Linked DNA regions of Diceros bicornis minor. The protein of the gene in region 2 purifies or fractionates together with the protein of the main gene of each other region. This does not show direct contact. Links are inferred from orthologs where the notes say so. Each region holds a gene or a part of one and is shown on either strand. Other genes may lie near its edges.

What was found.
Region 1: the proteins of GP6 (region 2) and LYN purify together in Homo sapiens (affinity purification with western blotting; 5 studies listed by BioGRID and IntAct, with this or other methods). This does not show direct contact. The link is inferred for Diceros bicornis minor from reciprocal best matches to the Homo sapiens genes GP6 and LYN.

The regions. Positions count from the first base shown.
Region 1 is NC_080772.1:9,706,285-9,714,467, forward strand, and holds the start of LYN (tyrosine-protein kinase Lyn), read left to right. Parts: upstream 1-5,057; 5' UTR 5,058-5,246; intron 5,247-8,183. UniProt on the Homo sapiens protein: Non-receptor tyrosine-protein kinase that transmits signals from cell surface receptors and plays an important role in the regulation of innate and adaptive immune responses, hematopoiesis, responses to growth factors and cytokines, integrin signaling, but also responses to DNA damage and genotoxic agents.
Region 2 is NC_080773.1:33,073,172-33,080,867, forward strand, and holds the start of GP6 (platelet glycoprotein VI), read right to left. Parts: upstream 3,080-7,696; coding exon 2,986-3,079; intron 2,869-2,985; coding exon 2,611-2,868; intron 1-2,610.

The DNA.
Region 1 (8,183 bases), on a different chromosome or scaffold from region 2:
GGGATATGGCACTGGCCTCCTCCCTCAGAGAGAAAACAGAAATGAAGTCATGAGCAATTCTCCCTCGTACCTTCTGGACACTCCCCAGGAGACTCCAGGACTTTAAATCTGACTACATGAGACAATTTTTTATGCATAGTTTACTATTTTGGTCTACTGTAATTACCACGTAGCACGATCTTGTGTATCATTGAGTGACAAATTAACTGTTGTAAATTTGATAAGATTTCAATCCTAATTTTGTGATTGGTGTTATTACCATTATTATTTGGCTCAGTTTGAACAATTTCTTGCTCAGGTAGCTTGGTTGTTCCTGTAAAAGAACTGAGAAGGACTCTCTTAGATTTAGCCCTGCTAACTTCCAGGCTCTGTCTGTGGTTTGCCCAGCTCAGAAGCCCTGACTTTGCAGAAGGCATTGTAAACTAAGGGTACAAGCTCGGGCTTTGATGTCAGTCAGACAGAGAGAACGGCGTTCGAGTCCAGCACGTGCCACTTCAGCAAGGTGAATTTGGGCGAGTCACCTACCCCTTCTGAGGCCGTTTTCTTATCTATCAAATGTAGAAAATAAAGCCTGGATGTTGTGAGGGTTGGTTGGAGGCTTTAACAAAATAACCTGCCTGGTTCCTGGGTGGGAGTGGTGATGGAAAGCCTCAGAAATCAACCTCTTCTCCATAGACTCTGGACGAATCAACACTCTCGCTTCCCTCTGGAACACGCCGCTTGATCCCTCCAGCAAAGTGAACTCTTTCCTCTGGGTAACACTCATATACTTTCCCAAAAGCCAGTTGTTCTGAAGTCAATGTGTGCCTGCTATCACAAATAGGCAACTTAATTAAATAGAAACTTAAAAAATATGAGTGAAAAAGTTGTTTCCATGTCAAAAACTAAGTTCAATATTTGGAAGCAGTCGCAGGTAAAATGGTAAAAGCAAACAATTGCACTGAATTAGGTGTAGAAGATAGGAGATTGTGGGCGAGACAGCTCTGTTTCCACAAAGCTGTAATTGGAAATTAGGGATGAGGTGCCAGGGGTGTGGTTTAGGTGGGAAAGATGGCCCAGAATGCCATGTAGGAGATACAGGCTCAGAGGAAACGCCCTGCGTTACATGAGAGGTTGGCAGTGAATGAATGTACTTGAGGTTGAAGTTCAGGTGAATGTTTTAAGGCACATTCACATCATTTTTATGATTTCCCCATTTTAAACAACGTTTTTGATTCATCAGTCCCAAGTGTGTAGATGAGAGGCCAGCTGGCATATTTTATTAGGATCACTGGTCAGTAGAAACTCATCTCTTTGGCAGCTATGCCCCACATTCTCCCAGGATGTTTGGTTGGGGCTCTTTCCCAGTGGTTCCCAATCTTGGCGGCTCATTGGAACCACCTGGAGAGCTTTAAAATCTCTGACGATTGGGTCCACCCTCAACCTACCCCCGGGGCTTTAATTATCAGGGTAGGGCCTGGGCGAGTGATTCTCACGTGCCGCCAGGATTGAGCAGCACTGCTCTGTATTATTTGCTGCTTGGGTCTCAGGTTTGTGGCCACGTTTGCAAGAGTCAGATGGCGAGTCTCTGCTTCCAATCTGCCCCTCCCCACAACAGCAACCAGAGGGCTTGTGCAGACAGTCTGTAAGAGTCCCTGAGGTGCCCTGGGGAGTCTGAAGGGCAGCTTCCAGAAGAGTGAAAGGGGCACCGGGGACAGTCCACATTGTGGCAATGAGATGGGCTGCAGATCAGATGGTGAGGTGGGTGGGCTGACGTGAGTGTGTGCCGAGAATGACCAATCTCGGCCATAAGTGCCAGGATCTGAAGGTCTGTATTGAGGGAGAATTTCCTTGAGGTCAGGCCTTTCATTTTCCTACAAGTGGAAGATGGGATGTTTTTATGCGCAGTCGATTTTTGTGGTAGTTATGATCTATAAAGTTGCCACAAACAATGAATTAGCTAATACTGAACAATTGTTCCTAGGAGGAATACGGGGTTAGGTTGCTGCGAGCTTCTGGCCACACTTTCATCAACTTGATAGATAACCTTGTTTTAAGTGTAAATCTGTTTCAAGACACCTTGCTTAATGTATATTGTTGATTCATTAACATTATTGACCCCACGACCAAGAGCACCATAAGTCATGCCTGAACAAAGTTGATATAACACACATATTTCCTCCATAAGGCACATCACAGCCTTCTTGTGCTTAGGACACTAGACAGCACTTCAGCACTACACTCAAGGGACACTTTAAACAGCGAAATCAGGGGCCGGCCCCATGGCATAGTGGTTAAGTGCGTGCGCTCCGCTGCTGGTGGCCCACGTCCGGATCCCGGGCTCGCACCGATGCATCACTTGTCAGGCCATCCTGTGGCAGCCTCCCACATAAAGTGGAGGAGGATGGGCACGGATGTTAGCTCAGGGCCAATCTTCCTCAGCAAAAAGAGGAGGATTGGTACGGATGTTAGCTTAGGGCTGATCTTCCTCACAATAAATAAATAAACAGTGAAATCAACAACAAAAAGCACAAAAATGCAAAAATCATGGCACTAAACAGATCTCCAAAAGGACACATGTTTATAGTACAAGAGCTAAAATAAGAAGGCAAAGCATCACCCAGTTTGACCTCAGCTGGAAGTGTGGGAGTGTGTGTGTGGGGAGACTCAAATAGTCACCCCTGGGCGCATGTCACAAATGACTGTGAAAGTGCTGTGAGTATTGATTGTGGGGTCACGAATAAATTTTAGTGAATAGCTGAATTTGCAAATACAGAGTCTGAAAAAATGAAGATCGACTATACATGGTTGATGCCATTTCCACTACTTCCTCCTGCGTCATTCTCAGTCACATCCCTCACCTTCTTCAAAGTCGGCTTATCCTGGCAAGGGGGTCTTTGTTAATTTGCAACCTGCCTCTGATCATTTCATTCTGTGTTCAATTTTCAACAGAGAATACTGTTGAGACAACTCAGTTCCTCAGTCAATGAACCAATCAATCGATACTAATGAAGTATTTTAAAGCACCTAACAGAACTTTGGAGAGGTACAGTGGGAAAGAGATAAATATAAGAAGCAATGCCTTCCAAAGAGGGCTTTACTATTTACTTACATGAAACAAAGGCAAACAATGCTAAAAAGTACCTAAATCTAGTTTAAAATGACTGTTGCACATTGTAAGTGCTCTAGATATCTAGAAAAGAAGGTTACCAATGAGGGCTTTAAATAAAACTTTTCGGGGACATGGAACTTTGATGGGACTTGAAGGAGGAAAGATAGACATGGAGAGTGGGTGGAGGAAATATTCAGGATATATTAAGACAGCTTGAGATGTGGGAATGACAATAGTTTTTTTTCCCCCCGAAATAAGAATAAAGAGATGAACTTAGCTGAGACACTTGTGCATGAGGAGGGAGAAGTGGTTGGGCCGGGTGCAAGACCAGCTCTGCCCGCTTACGCTTTGTTCCTTATGCCAAGAGACATTTTACCAAAAACACTGACAGGACATTCCAGATGGATTAGCCAACACCAAACATTCTGTATCCTATTCTTATTTGTGACATGCTTTTAGCCAGGATCTCAAGGACTCATTGGTAATAGCAGATGTTTTAAGTTAGGGCCAATACATTTGAGAGGTCACCCTGAAGAGAAGTCCAGGAAACGGGCCCTGAGGTAGTGAATTACTCCATAGGATCTGTGGCAGATTTCACTCACACTTGCAACACCTTCCAACAGGTAACCCCACTCCCTCCTCTTCAGCAGGAAACTAACCAACTACATACCAGCAAACATCACAGGTATAAACCAACCTACTTCGTTTAAGGCAGTAGTTTGCAAACCTTCATCCTCTGTTACCAGTAACAACGATTGTTGTTTGGGGTTGTGTTACAAGGAGTTGGACTTGCCCACTGGGCTGTGGCTGCAGCCTCCTTAGGTGGGGCCAGCCTCTTAAGAACATTGTCAATAAAAGGTAACAGGTCTGAAGCGCTTAGGGCAATGTCTGGGGCCCAATAGGCCCTAAGTAAGTATTGGCTATTATTAACACAAAGACCAAACCTCCTACAGGATGCTGTTTATTTCCTCGTAAATTCTACAGTGTAGGGCAGCGTTGGCATCCCAGTGAGTAGAATCCTGCTTAGAACAAGTGGGCATCCACAGTGGCTGAGACTAACATTACATCCTGGATTTGTAAGTGGCATTTACTGAGTAGGAATATGAGCTTGAAGATGCAGCTTACTCTTTCAACAGACACTGATTAGGCACCTGCTATGTGTCAAGCTCTGGGCAACATGTGGGGATGCAGAGATTGTAGGAATGACAGAATAACAGGGCCCATGACTGTGTACCGGGCACAGTGTGAGCCCTTTACAGAAGACATGTCATCCTCCCAGTAACCCCGCGAGCTAGCCATCCTTATCTCCAGTTTCCCGGGAGGAAACAGAAGTTTTGAGGAACTGAGTAAATTGCCAGGCTATTTAATTCCACAGCCACCACCGCCATCAATACCCTGAACATCCTCGTACACCCTTCAGGAGCTTACTCTGTACTGATTAAGAACACAATGAGACCCTGAGCATAAACTCGGCACATCTCATTCTCTCTCTAGAAAACTCCAAATGTTGGGGGGATCAGAGCGCGCCCCCTCCGCTGCCAGGGGCACAACACTTCCTAACACCTTGGGGAGTAGGCTGGAAGGCAAGGCAAGGAGACGCGAGAGGTTTCGTCGATGTGCTACGACCGTCAAGGCTTCAGAGTATTTCCCTGGAAGATGCTTCTGTCCGTCTCTACCTGAGAATGCTGGGCCCGAGGAGGCTCCACTCTGCCAAGCTGCACACTGGGACACCAGGTTTCTCTGCCTTCAAGGCTCTGCGCGACGGCCACATGAAAGACCCAAACCTTGGGCAGAGGCCAAACGGTCACTTCCCCGCCCTCCGGGTGCAGTATGCAAATCCGAGCACCAGGAAGTAGCTGGGACCTCTCGGCCGAGCCCAGCGACAGTCAGTTCCTCTCCCGCCGCTCCGGGCCGCCCGCCGCTCGCTCCCGGCCGTGGCGCCTCGGGGCCCGACGCGCTGCAGCCTCCAGCCCGCGGCAGGCGGGGCGGCCGCGCCACCCCGGGCCCCGCGCCCGCAGCCCCTCGCCGGGCGTCCTCCGTTCCCGGCCCGCAGCCCCTCCCCACGCGGGGCCCGCTGGGCCGCCCCGTCGCGCCCCCGGCTCTGAACTCGAGTCACCGTGGAGCGCCGCCGCCCCGCAACTTTCACCGCGAGCTGGTGAGTCCCGCGCGCGAGGCCGGGGGTGGGCGCGGGCGCCGGGCAGACCGGGCGGAAGCCGCGGCTGTGCCACTGGCCGGAGTCCGGGGCGCGGGGCCGGCCCTGGGCCGGGGAGCCGGGGTCGGCACGGGGAGCGGGGGTCGGCACGGGCCGCGGGGGCGGGGGGCGCGCGCCGCTTCCTGGCCGCACGGGCGCCGGTCCCGGCGGCGAGGGCACCCCGATGCCCTCAGCCCGTGGGTGACCCGGCCCCGGAGCGAGAAGGCGGGGGCGGGCGGCTCCGCAGGTGTCTTTCCCGCGGAGCGCACAGGGGCGTGGTGGGAGTGCGGGCGCGGAGGCGGGCGCGCCGCGGGTCCCTCTGGCGCGGAGCCGCCGGCCGGATGCTGTCCCCGCTCGGGCCACTCCCGGCGCGCCGCGGGGAAGCCCCTCTCCGCGCGGAGCGGGCGCGCGGCGGGGATCCTGGCGGGGACTCCTCGGGTCGCGCAGCCTGGTCTCCCCGCTGGGCTCTGGGTCCCCAGAAGTGAGGGATGGGGCCCGGCGCGGGCCCTCCTGCAGGCCCGCGGGCAGCTGCCCTCCTCGGTCGCGCCGGGCAGCGGCGTGACGTCGAGGGGCTGCGGCGGAGCGTGGTGCTCACCCTCCCGCTGAGCCCGGCGCCTCTCGGCCTGCAGAGGAGCAGTCCGGTGCCTCTGCCGCCGGCGGAGAGGAAGCGAGAGTTATTTTAAGAATTCAGGGGTTGCCTTTCCTTCGCCTTGGGGGAAGGGTGTCAGCGACAGTTTGCACTGTTCTGCGTTATCCTGGCGACCGCGGCGTCTGCTGGATGCTGTGCGTTTGTAATGTTCCTTCTAATAGCCGGCGTGGCTGTGTGGTTGTGTCTTCCTTTGTTTGTATGCCCGTGTGAGTATGGGTCTGTCTTAATTAAGCCCAATCCACCCAACTTCTTTGCCATCTCAGAAACTCGAATTGAATCCAGGCCTTGCAATTTCCTAACCGTGTGTGAACTTGGTCCTGTTATTGAAATTCGCTCTTTGGGTTTCCTCATCTCTTGGAGAATATATCTACCTCCTGAGCTATTTATTGCACGTAAGGCCCCAAGCACATACTAGGCATTTCATAAACAGTGCTGTTATTATTATTGATCGCAAATAACTCTGTCCATAAAAACGAGGCTCCCTGGTTCTTTGTAATGTGTTGATTATAAACCTAAGACTACATGTCCGATTTAGCCACCTGGCCTTACTAGTAAATCTGCTTAATAAATACACCAGGGATTTGCTGTCCCAAAGCAGGGCCCAGGAGTCTCACTCACCCTGAGAACTAGCCAGTAAGCACCTCTGACTGACTTTTGATTTGCTGGCCACCCCCAGCCGGCTGCAGGGTTCAGGAGGGCAGAGGTGTTCTCTCTGTGCAGGCAACACCTAAAGCAGTGTGGACTGGAGCAGGCACTGAGAGAGGACAGGAGAATATAGGGAGTTGTAATTTAACTAAGTACTGCAAGTCCTTCCTGAGAAGGGCAGTGCGCTGGAAAAGGGTGGGATTCTGTTGTCTCTGCTTCTTATTTGGGAATAAGGAGGTAAACGTCTTGAGGCCTGAAGAAATTTACTTTGATTACAAGAGGCTTTTGATGACTGGGCCTGTTTGGATGCAGAGTGGGCTAACCTGCTTCCTGAGTGAAGAGGAGAGGGCAGCTGATGTCGGGAAAGAGAAAGGAGGAACCAGAAGCCTGTTGTGGGGCTCTTCTGCCATTTACCAGAGCTGTGATTTAGGATGAGTTACTTAGGCCATTTATTCAGCCAACATTTCCTTCATAGCAGTAACTAGAGTTATATTTTGGTTTGTCTGCATGTGTATAGTCTATATTCACCACTACAGTGAAGGCTCCTTGAGAACAGCTTTGTCTGTCTGGTCCAAAATGCTAGCCCTGGTGCCTGTCCCATAGTGGAGATTACTTAGAAGAAGGAATGCAAGTCTGCTCTGAGCCTGGTGCTGTGCAAGGCCGAGGAACAGGGCTGGTCCCTAAGGCATTTGCAGCCTACTGGCCCTCTCTGTCCTGGTGTCTAAAATGGGGATGTGAGGGACTTTTTGGCCTCTCAGGTTATCCCAGCTGTAGTGTTCTAAGTGGGCATCTCCGTTCAGCCCTGGTTACTGTGCTGTATCACTGGGAGACAGGTCTTGATTTGGAGTGGTAAGATTTGGCAAAAGTAGTTTGCCAAATCACAAAGACCCACTTTATCTTAAAGTCATTGGTGTTGCACAGGTATGTGGAGAATTTGTGATCTCCACCCCTCATCCAATGGCATTCTTTCAGCAGACAAGTGGTCCGGCAGTTTTGTGAATCAATGACTTTCAAAGCTTTTTAGTTCTACCGTATTTGTGTTCAAAAATAAATCACCAAAACATCTGAGATGCCAGTTGGTTGAAATGAATATATGGGGTTATAATTTAACAGAATTAAACTATATTATCCATAAACAAACCCATACTGATTTTAAATCTGTATAAATGAGAATACAGTGTGTACATGTCCACAGCATGGAACATTGTTACAGCTCACTCACACTGCTGATCTCAGTGACCTCCATGGCCTGAGACATGGATAGTATTTACATGGAAGGTCACCACAGTCATTAGTTGGAACATTGATGAGTGACACATTGATGGTAGAGAAGGCCTCAGACCTCTCCAGAGCTCTTCCTGGTGATGATGGTGCTAACACCCTTCACTTATGCAGGGCTCTGAAGCCTTCCTGAACTCTGGTTTCATTCGAACCTCCCATGGTCTCCCAGGGTAGGCAGCATCAGTTACAGAAAAAGAGGGTTGATGTCATGTCCAGGGTCACAGGCCTGGTTAAGTGGCTGTTGGGCAGGGTAGTATGTGTTCTGGCTCAACTTTAGAGCATTTCCCACTTTTCTGCCTTTGGAGCTATAGCAGGCACTCAATTAC
Region 2 (7,696 bases):
AGCTCAGAGTGGTTGAGGGAGAATGACTGAGATCACATCATAGTCCCTGGGCGCAAATCCTGGTTCTGTTGCTTAGGGGTAGTGTGATCCTGGAGATAAATTCCCCCTATATCCGTGCCTCAGTGTTCTCTCCCATAAAATGGGAATGATTGAATGAAACAATAAATATTAAGCATTTAGCAGAGTATCTAAGCACTCAAAATATGATGGTAGTAACAAAATAGCTTAAGGTTATATTGCACTGTAAGCTTGTATTAGGGAACACAATACTTATATTGTAAACTTGTGTTAAAGTGCCAGCTTCCAGGTGCTGTTCTAAGCTCATGACATATGTCAATTCATTGAATCCTCACAAAGACCTATGAATTCATCACTACGCATATCCCTATTTTATAAATGGAACTAAGGCGCACAATGCTAAATAAATTGTCTGAGGTCGTAAGACAGTACGTGGCAGAACTGAAATTTGCAATTGTGGAGTTTGACTACAGGCTCTCCACTCTTAAACACGAACCTCCACTACTATGTAATTTGATAGCATTATCATCGTCAGTCATGGCAATCCACGCCTGCCACACAGTACTCACAACAACAAACATTGCCTGATAATTAAGTCTCATTCATTCATTCAAAAATTTTTTTTCCTTAGCAACTAAATGTCAGTCTCTGCTCTAAGAAACAAGAATCCCATCAGGAAGAAAGAATGGACAATAACAAAGATAAATAGGTAAATGTGTGGCATACCAGATAGTGATGAGTGCCATTTTAAATCTGGGTGCAATTTTAAATAGGGTGGTGAGGGATATGCTTAGAGAGAAGCTATCATTTGAATTGACAAACTTTTAACCAGACTCACTAAGAAAAAAAAACACTCAAATAAATAAAATCAGAAATGAAAGAGGCGATATTACAAAAGATACCACAGAAAAACAAAGGATTATAAGAGAACACTATGAAAAGCTATATGCCGACAAACTGGATAAACTACAAGAAACAAATAAATTCTTAGAAACATACAACCTCCCAAAACTGAATCAAGAAGAAATAGAAAATCTGAACAGACCAATCAGAAGTAATGAGATTGAAATAATAGCAATCAAAAACCTCCCAAAAAACAAAAGTCCAGGACCAGACGGCTTCTCTGTTGAATTCTACCAAACATTCAAAGAAGATTTAATACCTATCCTTCTCAAACTCTTCTGAAATATTGAAGAGGACGGGTTGCTTCCTAACTCATTCTATGAGGCCAACGCCACCCTGATACCAAAACCAGACAAGGACAACACAAAAAAGGAAAATTACAGGCCAATATTGCTGATGAACATAGATGCAAAAATCCTCAACAAAGTATTAGCAAATAATAATTGATCAGATAATAAGAGGAGACACTCTCCTTGGAGGCAAAATGTAAGCAGGTGCAAAAAAAACTGTCAGTAATGAAGATAAATAATATTTTAAGGTAATTTTTAAATCACAACTAATGCGAACACAACAATAACCAAAATATCAAGATTTTAAACCAAGACAGAATCCAACTGTGCCCAGCAAAGCTGTTTGAAGCTTAAGGCAAAAAGGAATCTATGCACCCCTCCATACACATTTTTATGTATTTTTATGGTTAATTTTTTCCATACTATTAACATAATTGAAAAAATATTGAAAATTTTTAAAGAAAGTTATTAAAGTACGCAACATTATTTTGAGTTTAAATATTTTATTTATACCAAAAAAAAAAAAAACCCACAGAATTTGTTATCATTTTACTCTCCTGGCTTTCACAGAAGAAAACTCATCAATGATATTTTCAAAATCTGCTGCGGAAAATAACCATTTAAAAATGCATTAGAGGGGCCGGCCCAGTGGCTTGGTGGTGAAGTGCGCACGCTCCGCTACTGGCGGCCCCGGTTCGGATCCCGGGCGCGCACCGACGCACCGCTTCCTGGCCATGCTGAGGCCGCATCCCACATACAGCAACTAGAAGGATGTGCAACTATGACATGCAACTATCTACTGGGGCTTTGGGGAAGAAAAAAAAGGAGGAGGATTGGCAATAGATGTTAGCTCAGAGCCAGTCTTCCTCAACAAAAAGAGGAGGATTAGCATGGATGTTAGCTCAGGGCTGATCTTCCTCACAAAAAAAAAAAAAAAAAAACATTTAAAAAATTCATTAGAAATAAAAGCATAAGCTGAGACTGTCTTATTCCATCAAAAAATAAAAAACAAAAATGCATTAGAATGTGAACAGAGGAATGCACATTTTTCCTTTTGTGCCAGGCTCGGCTGTGGCTTGGCACAGCACTGTTGGAGCCTGTCTTTACGGAAAATCGTCATATTTGTTCATTGTGGATATTCTTGAGTTAATTTTGATTTTTTTAAAAAAATTGCCTCAGCATATTATTTATGTTGATTGACGAGTTTTCTGGGAACCACCCCTAAATTTAGCACTCAAGGCCAGCGCTCTCTTGCCCCACCCTAATCCCTGCCCCAGGGGGACTTCAGATTTACTATCGTGGGCATCCCAGTTCTCACCCTCTTTGAGCCCAGAACTGAGGACCGTGTAGCCCTCAGGCCACACATCCAGCCACATCCCACCTCCGCCCCTCCTGTTACCAGTGGCAATCAGCTCCAGCTGCTCACTGGGGGGTGACCAGCGGGTCCCATTCTGGTAGGAGCAGCGGTAGCGTCCAGCGTCGTCTGTTCTCATGGCCGGAATGAAGTGGATGGCCTGGTCCATGTACTTTCGGGTTCTCAGTTTCTCCAGGCGGTACACGTCCACACCCGGAGGCCCCAGGCAGCGGATTGTCACCGGCTTCTTCAGGGGCACAAGGGGGCTGGGCTGGGCCTGGAGGGAGGGCTTGGGCAGTGGGCCTGGAAAGGAAGCAGAGCCTAGCAGAGGTCATCTTCCCAACAGACCCCTCCTTCTGGACCCTCTCACCCGCTCCTGCCCTCGCAGGGGCTGAACCCGGAAGAGGGATTAAGACTCACCGTTCTGAGCTTGTGTCACCTGCCCCAGACACAACCCTGAGCATAGAAGAAAAGGACCAAACGTTAAAACCTCACGAACCCACACTCCCTGCATGCTGGGCACGGTGGTAAGATATTTGCATGGGTTAGCTTTCTTTTGTCATAATTATTTTTTTTTCCCAAAGACGCACATGCACATAATTTAAGTAAAAGAAGCCAGCCATAAAAGGCCACATATTGCATGATTTCATTTATATGAAATGTCCAGAATAGGTAAATCTGTCCAGAGACAGAAAATAGATTAGTGGTTGCCCGGGGCTGGGGGAGGGGAGATTGAGGAGTGACTGCTGATGGGTGTGGAGTTTCCTTTTGGAGAGGTGAGAATGTCTTGGAACTAGATAGAGGTGCTGATTGCACAACATTGTGCATGTACTAAAAGTCATTAATGGTAAAGGTTATGTTAAATATATTATTCTGCTACAATTTAAAAAAAAAGAAAAAAATAGGGATTCCTTGCTCCACCCCTCAGCTCCCTCCAGTACCACTCCCCACGCACACACTTTTGACAACTGGAAAGAGAATTACCTCTTCTTTGAGAAGCAGGCTGTGTGCCTGATGGAGTTCCTTTTTTTTTCCCCCAGATTTATTGAGATATAATTGACATGTAACATTGTGTAAGTTTAAGGTATACAATGCATTGATTTGGTACACTTATGTATTGCAAAATGATTACCACCTAGTATTAGCTAACACCTCCATCCCCACATGTAATTACTGTTTCTTTTTTGTGGTGAGAACACTTAAAATCTACCCTCTTGGCAATTTTCAAGTATATAATACATTATTACTAGCTATAATCACCATGCTGTACATTAGATCCCGGTGGGGGTCTCTCGCATTATATCATAAGTCAAGAGAGCTCAGGGTGTGTTAATCATAGATTTCCCACTATTTTAACTTTTTGATTAAATCAATATTTTGTAATTACCTTACTATGACTCTACAAATATTATTCACACCTGAGGATTATAATATTTTACCCACGTATTTTTCCTATTGTTTTTCCCTCAAAATCAACAAATGTCCAATTTAGTTCCATCTGCATAGTTTTTCCACAATTTTCAATAGCCTCTCCTTGTAATTTCACACAACATCTATTAAACTGCATAATCTGTAAATTCCACTTTTCCCTTGAAGTTACCCTCCCCCCCGTTCTCCTTCTATCTGAACTAATTCTTCCCTAGGTTGAACAATTGTCCTTTTTCTCTCAAACTAAGACTCTTCTTTCCCTTTTCTGCTGAGTTGGTAGCTTTATCTGTCTCACTAGGGTTGCCAGATTTAGCAAATAAAAACATAGGACTCCCAGTTAAATTTGAATATCAGATAAACAACGAGTAATATTTTTTTGCATAGTATGTTCTGTGAGATATATTTGGTGTGCTTAGGCTTAAAAAAGTATTTGTTGTTTATCTGAAATTAGATTTAACTGGGCAGCCCGTGTTCCATCTGATAACCCTTATCCTTACACACACACTGGAAGGAAGGACTGTTATTGTTTCCATTATAAACGTAAGGAAACTGGGCCAAGAGGCTAAGCAATTTCTTGTAGCACACACAGCTAGGAAGTGGTGAACCCAGATCATCCCTGACTCCAGAACTCAGGGTGACACACTTGTGACCAGCTCCATCTGAGCCCCATCCTGTCCACACCAGGTTCTTCCGCATCCTGTACCCAAGCTTCACCCATGTCTTTGTCCACTGCCCAACACAACCCCACCTCAGTCCCTCCGTGGGTTTCCACGCAGCCCATCAACATGACTGGAAATATTCCATGTGCCATTCTGAGAGTTTTGTGAATGGTTTCGGGGTCACCACAATCCCACTGGTTAGGTACTATTATTAACCCTATTTTATACATCAGGCTATTGTGACAGTATCTTGTTCACAGTCCTGCAGCTGGTAGGAGGTAGATTCAAACACTGGCTGCATATTTTAGTGTGAAGAACGTGGACTTGGGCCAAAATTCCTTAGTTTTTATTCGAGCCCTAACTGTGTGACCTTAAACAAGTTACTTGATCGCTCTGGGCCTCAGTTTTTTCATCTGTAAAATGGGGATGATAATAGGCCTTACCTCATCAGGCTGTTATGGGATTAAATAAGTGTCTATTGAAAAAAAAACATAGAATAATATCTAGCCCATAGTAAGTGCTACATAAGTGTGTGTTAAAGAATGAATGAATAAGAGGCTGTTTGTGTTCATAGTATGCCCTCTTATCCCCCGTGACACAACTATTTCCTTCCTGCTTGGTCTCTTGGAGCCTCTATCCCTTTAGTGATAAAGTTCTTTTGAAGAAATAAGGAAATCATGCATATGACACACCTCACACAAAGCCTGATGACGAGCAGGCGATAAAAATGCATCTGATCCCACCACCAACCCCTCATGGGAGACTCTTTCTTTTTCCAGCTACTTGGAGCTATAACTGACAAATAAAAATTGTATGTGTTTAAGAGGCACAACATGAAGATTTTATATACTTACACATAGTGAAATGATCATCAGAATCAAGCTAATTAACACTCCCACCACCTCACATAATTATCTTATTTTTGTGAGAACACTTAAGATTTACTCTCATAGCAAATTTCAGGCATAAAACACAGTAATGTTAACTATAGTCACCATGCTGTGCATGAGATCCCCACAACTTATTCATCTTATAACTGGAAGTTTGTACGCTATGACCAACATCTCCCTATTTCCCCCATCCCCCTACCCTTGGTAACCACCATTCTACTCTCTGCTTCTGTGAGTTCGATTTTTTTAGATTCCACATACAAGTGAGATCATACAGTATTTGCCTTTCTCTGTCTGACTTATTTCACTTAGCATAATGCCCTCCAGGTTCATCCATGTTGTCAAAAATGGCAGGATTATTTGCTCCAGTATCATGAGGGATTCTGACAAATTAAGTCTATAATCTAGTCCTCTAATCTATAACTACCAAGTTCACATTTAAAAAAAAAAAATGTGGTTTGTGGGAGAAATTTGCAGCCGTACTAGGAGACCTGTGTTCATTTCCTGACCCAGCTGTGAATAGACTAGAGTAACTCAGACAAACACTTCACCTCTCTGGCTCCCAATTTTCCCAGCCAACAGATGAAGGGGCCCTCGGAGGTCCCCTCTTGTCTTGAAATTCATCGCTGATGCAATGTTTTAAAAAAAATTCTTTGTCAGCTTCTGCAAGGCAAACGAAACCAGGATCAAAATGAAAAGACAACCCACCAGCTGGGAGTAAATATTTGCAAATCATATATCCAACAAGGGGTTAATCTCCATAATATATAAAGAACTCACACAACTGAACAACAAAAAAACAAATAACCCGATCAAAAAATGGGCAGAGGATATGAACAGATATTTTTCCAAGGAAGGTATACAGATGGCCAATAGGCACATGAAAGGATGTTCAACATCACTAATCATTAGGGAAATGCAAATCAAAACAACGCTAAGATATCACCTTACACCCATTAGAATGGCTATAATTGCTAACACAAAAAATAACAAATGTTGGAGAGGATGTGGGGAAAACGGAACTCTCATTCACTGCTGGTGGGAGTGCAAACTGGTGCAGCCTTTATGGAAAACAATATGGAGATTTCTCAAAAAATTAAGGATAGAACTACCATACGATCCAGCTATTCCACTGCTGGGTATTTATCCAAAGAACTTGAAATCAACAATCCAAAGAGGCTTATGCACCCCTATGTTCATTGCAGCATTATTTACTATAGCCAAGATGTGGAAGCAACCCAAGTGTCCATCAACAGATGATTGGATAAAGAAGATGTGCTATATATATACAATGGAGTACTACTTAGCCATTAAAAAAAGACAAAATTGTACCATTTGCAGCAACATGGATGGACCTGGAGGGTATTATGTTAAGTGAAATAAGCCAGACAGAGAAAGACAAACACTGTATGACCTCTCTCATATGTGGAATATAAACTAACACACGGACAGAGAGAACAGTTTGGTGGTTACCAGGGGAGTTGGGGGGGGGCACAAGGGGTGAAGGGGTGCATTTATACGGTGACTGACAAACAATAGTGTACAACTGGAATCTCACAATGTTATAAACTAGTATGACATCAAAAAAATAAAAATAAAAAATTCTTTGTCTCATAGCCCACTGCCTGTCCCTCAGCATTTCCCAGATGGACCCTAAGGACTCACCAAGACAGAAGAGGGCAGACAGGGTTGGGGACATGGTTCCTCAGCCTGTCCTGAGCTCTGTAGCCCAGGAGGGAAGCCGTGGGGGGCTGGAGCAGGGACACAGGATGTGATAAAGGCAAAGAACACTCTCTTCTCTTCCCCCATCAGCCCTGGCTTTTCCTAATTGAGACTCATCAAGCTGGAGCCGTCCCCTCAGTGGAATGACTTGCAAACAAGCTCCAAGGAGCCTCACTTATCTCCTGTTACCAGCCCAGTGTTGCACCACATCTGCCTATTGAGGCATTGTCTGTGTTCCCATGTTCCCATAAGCTCCCTGACATTCATTAGGGACATGCAAATCAAAACCACAGTGAGGTATCACTTCACATCACTAGGATGGCTGACAGATAGCCAAGAAGACAGCTAATAACAAATGTGGAGGAGGATGTGGAGAAGTTGGAACCCTCGTGCGTTGCCAGTGGGAATGTGAAATGGTGCAGTCGCTGTGGA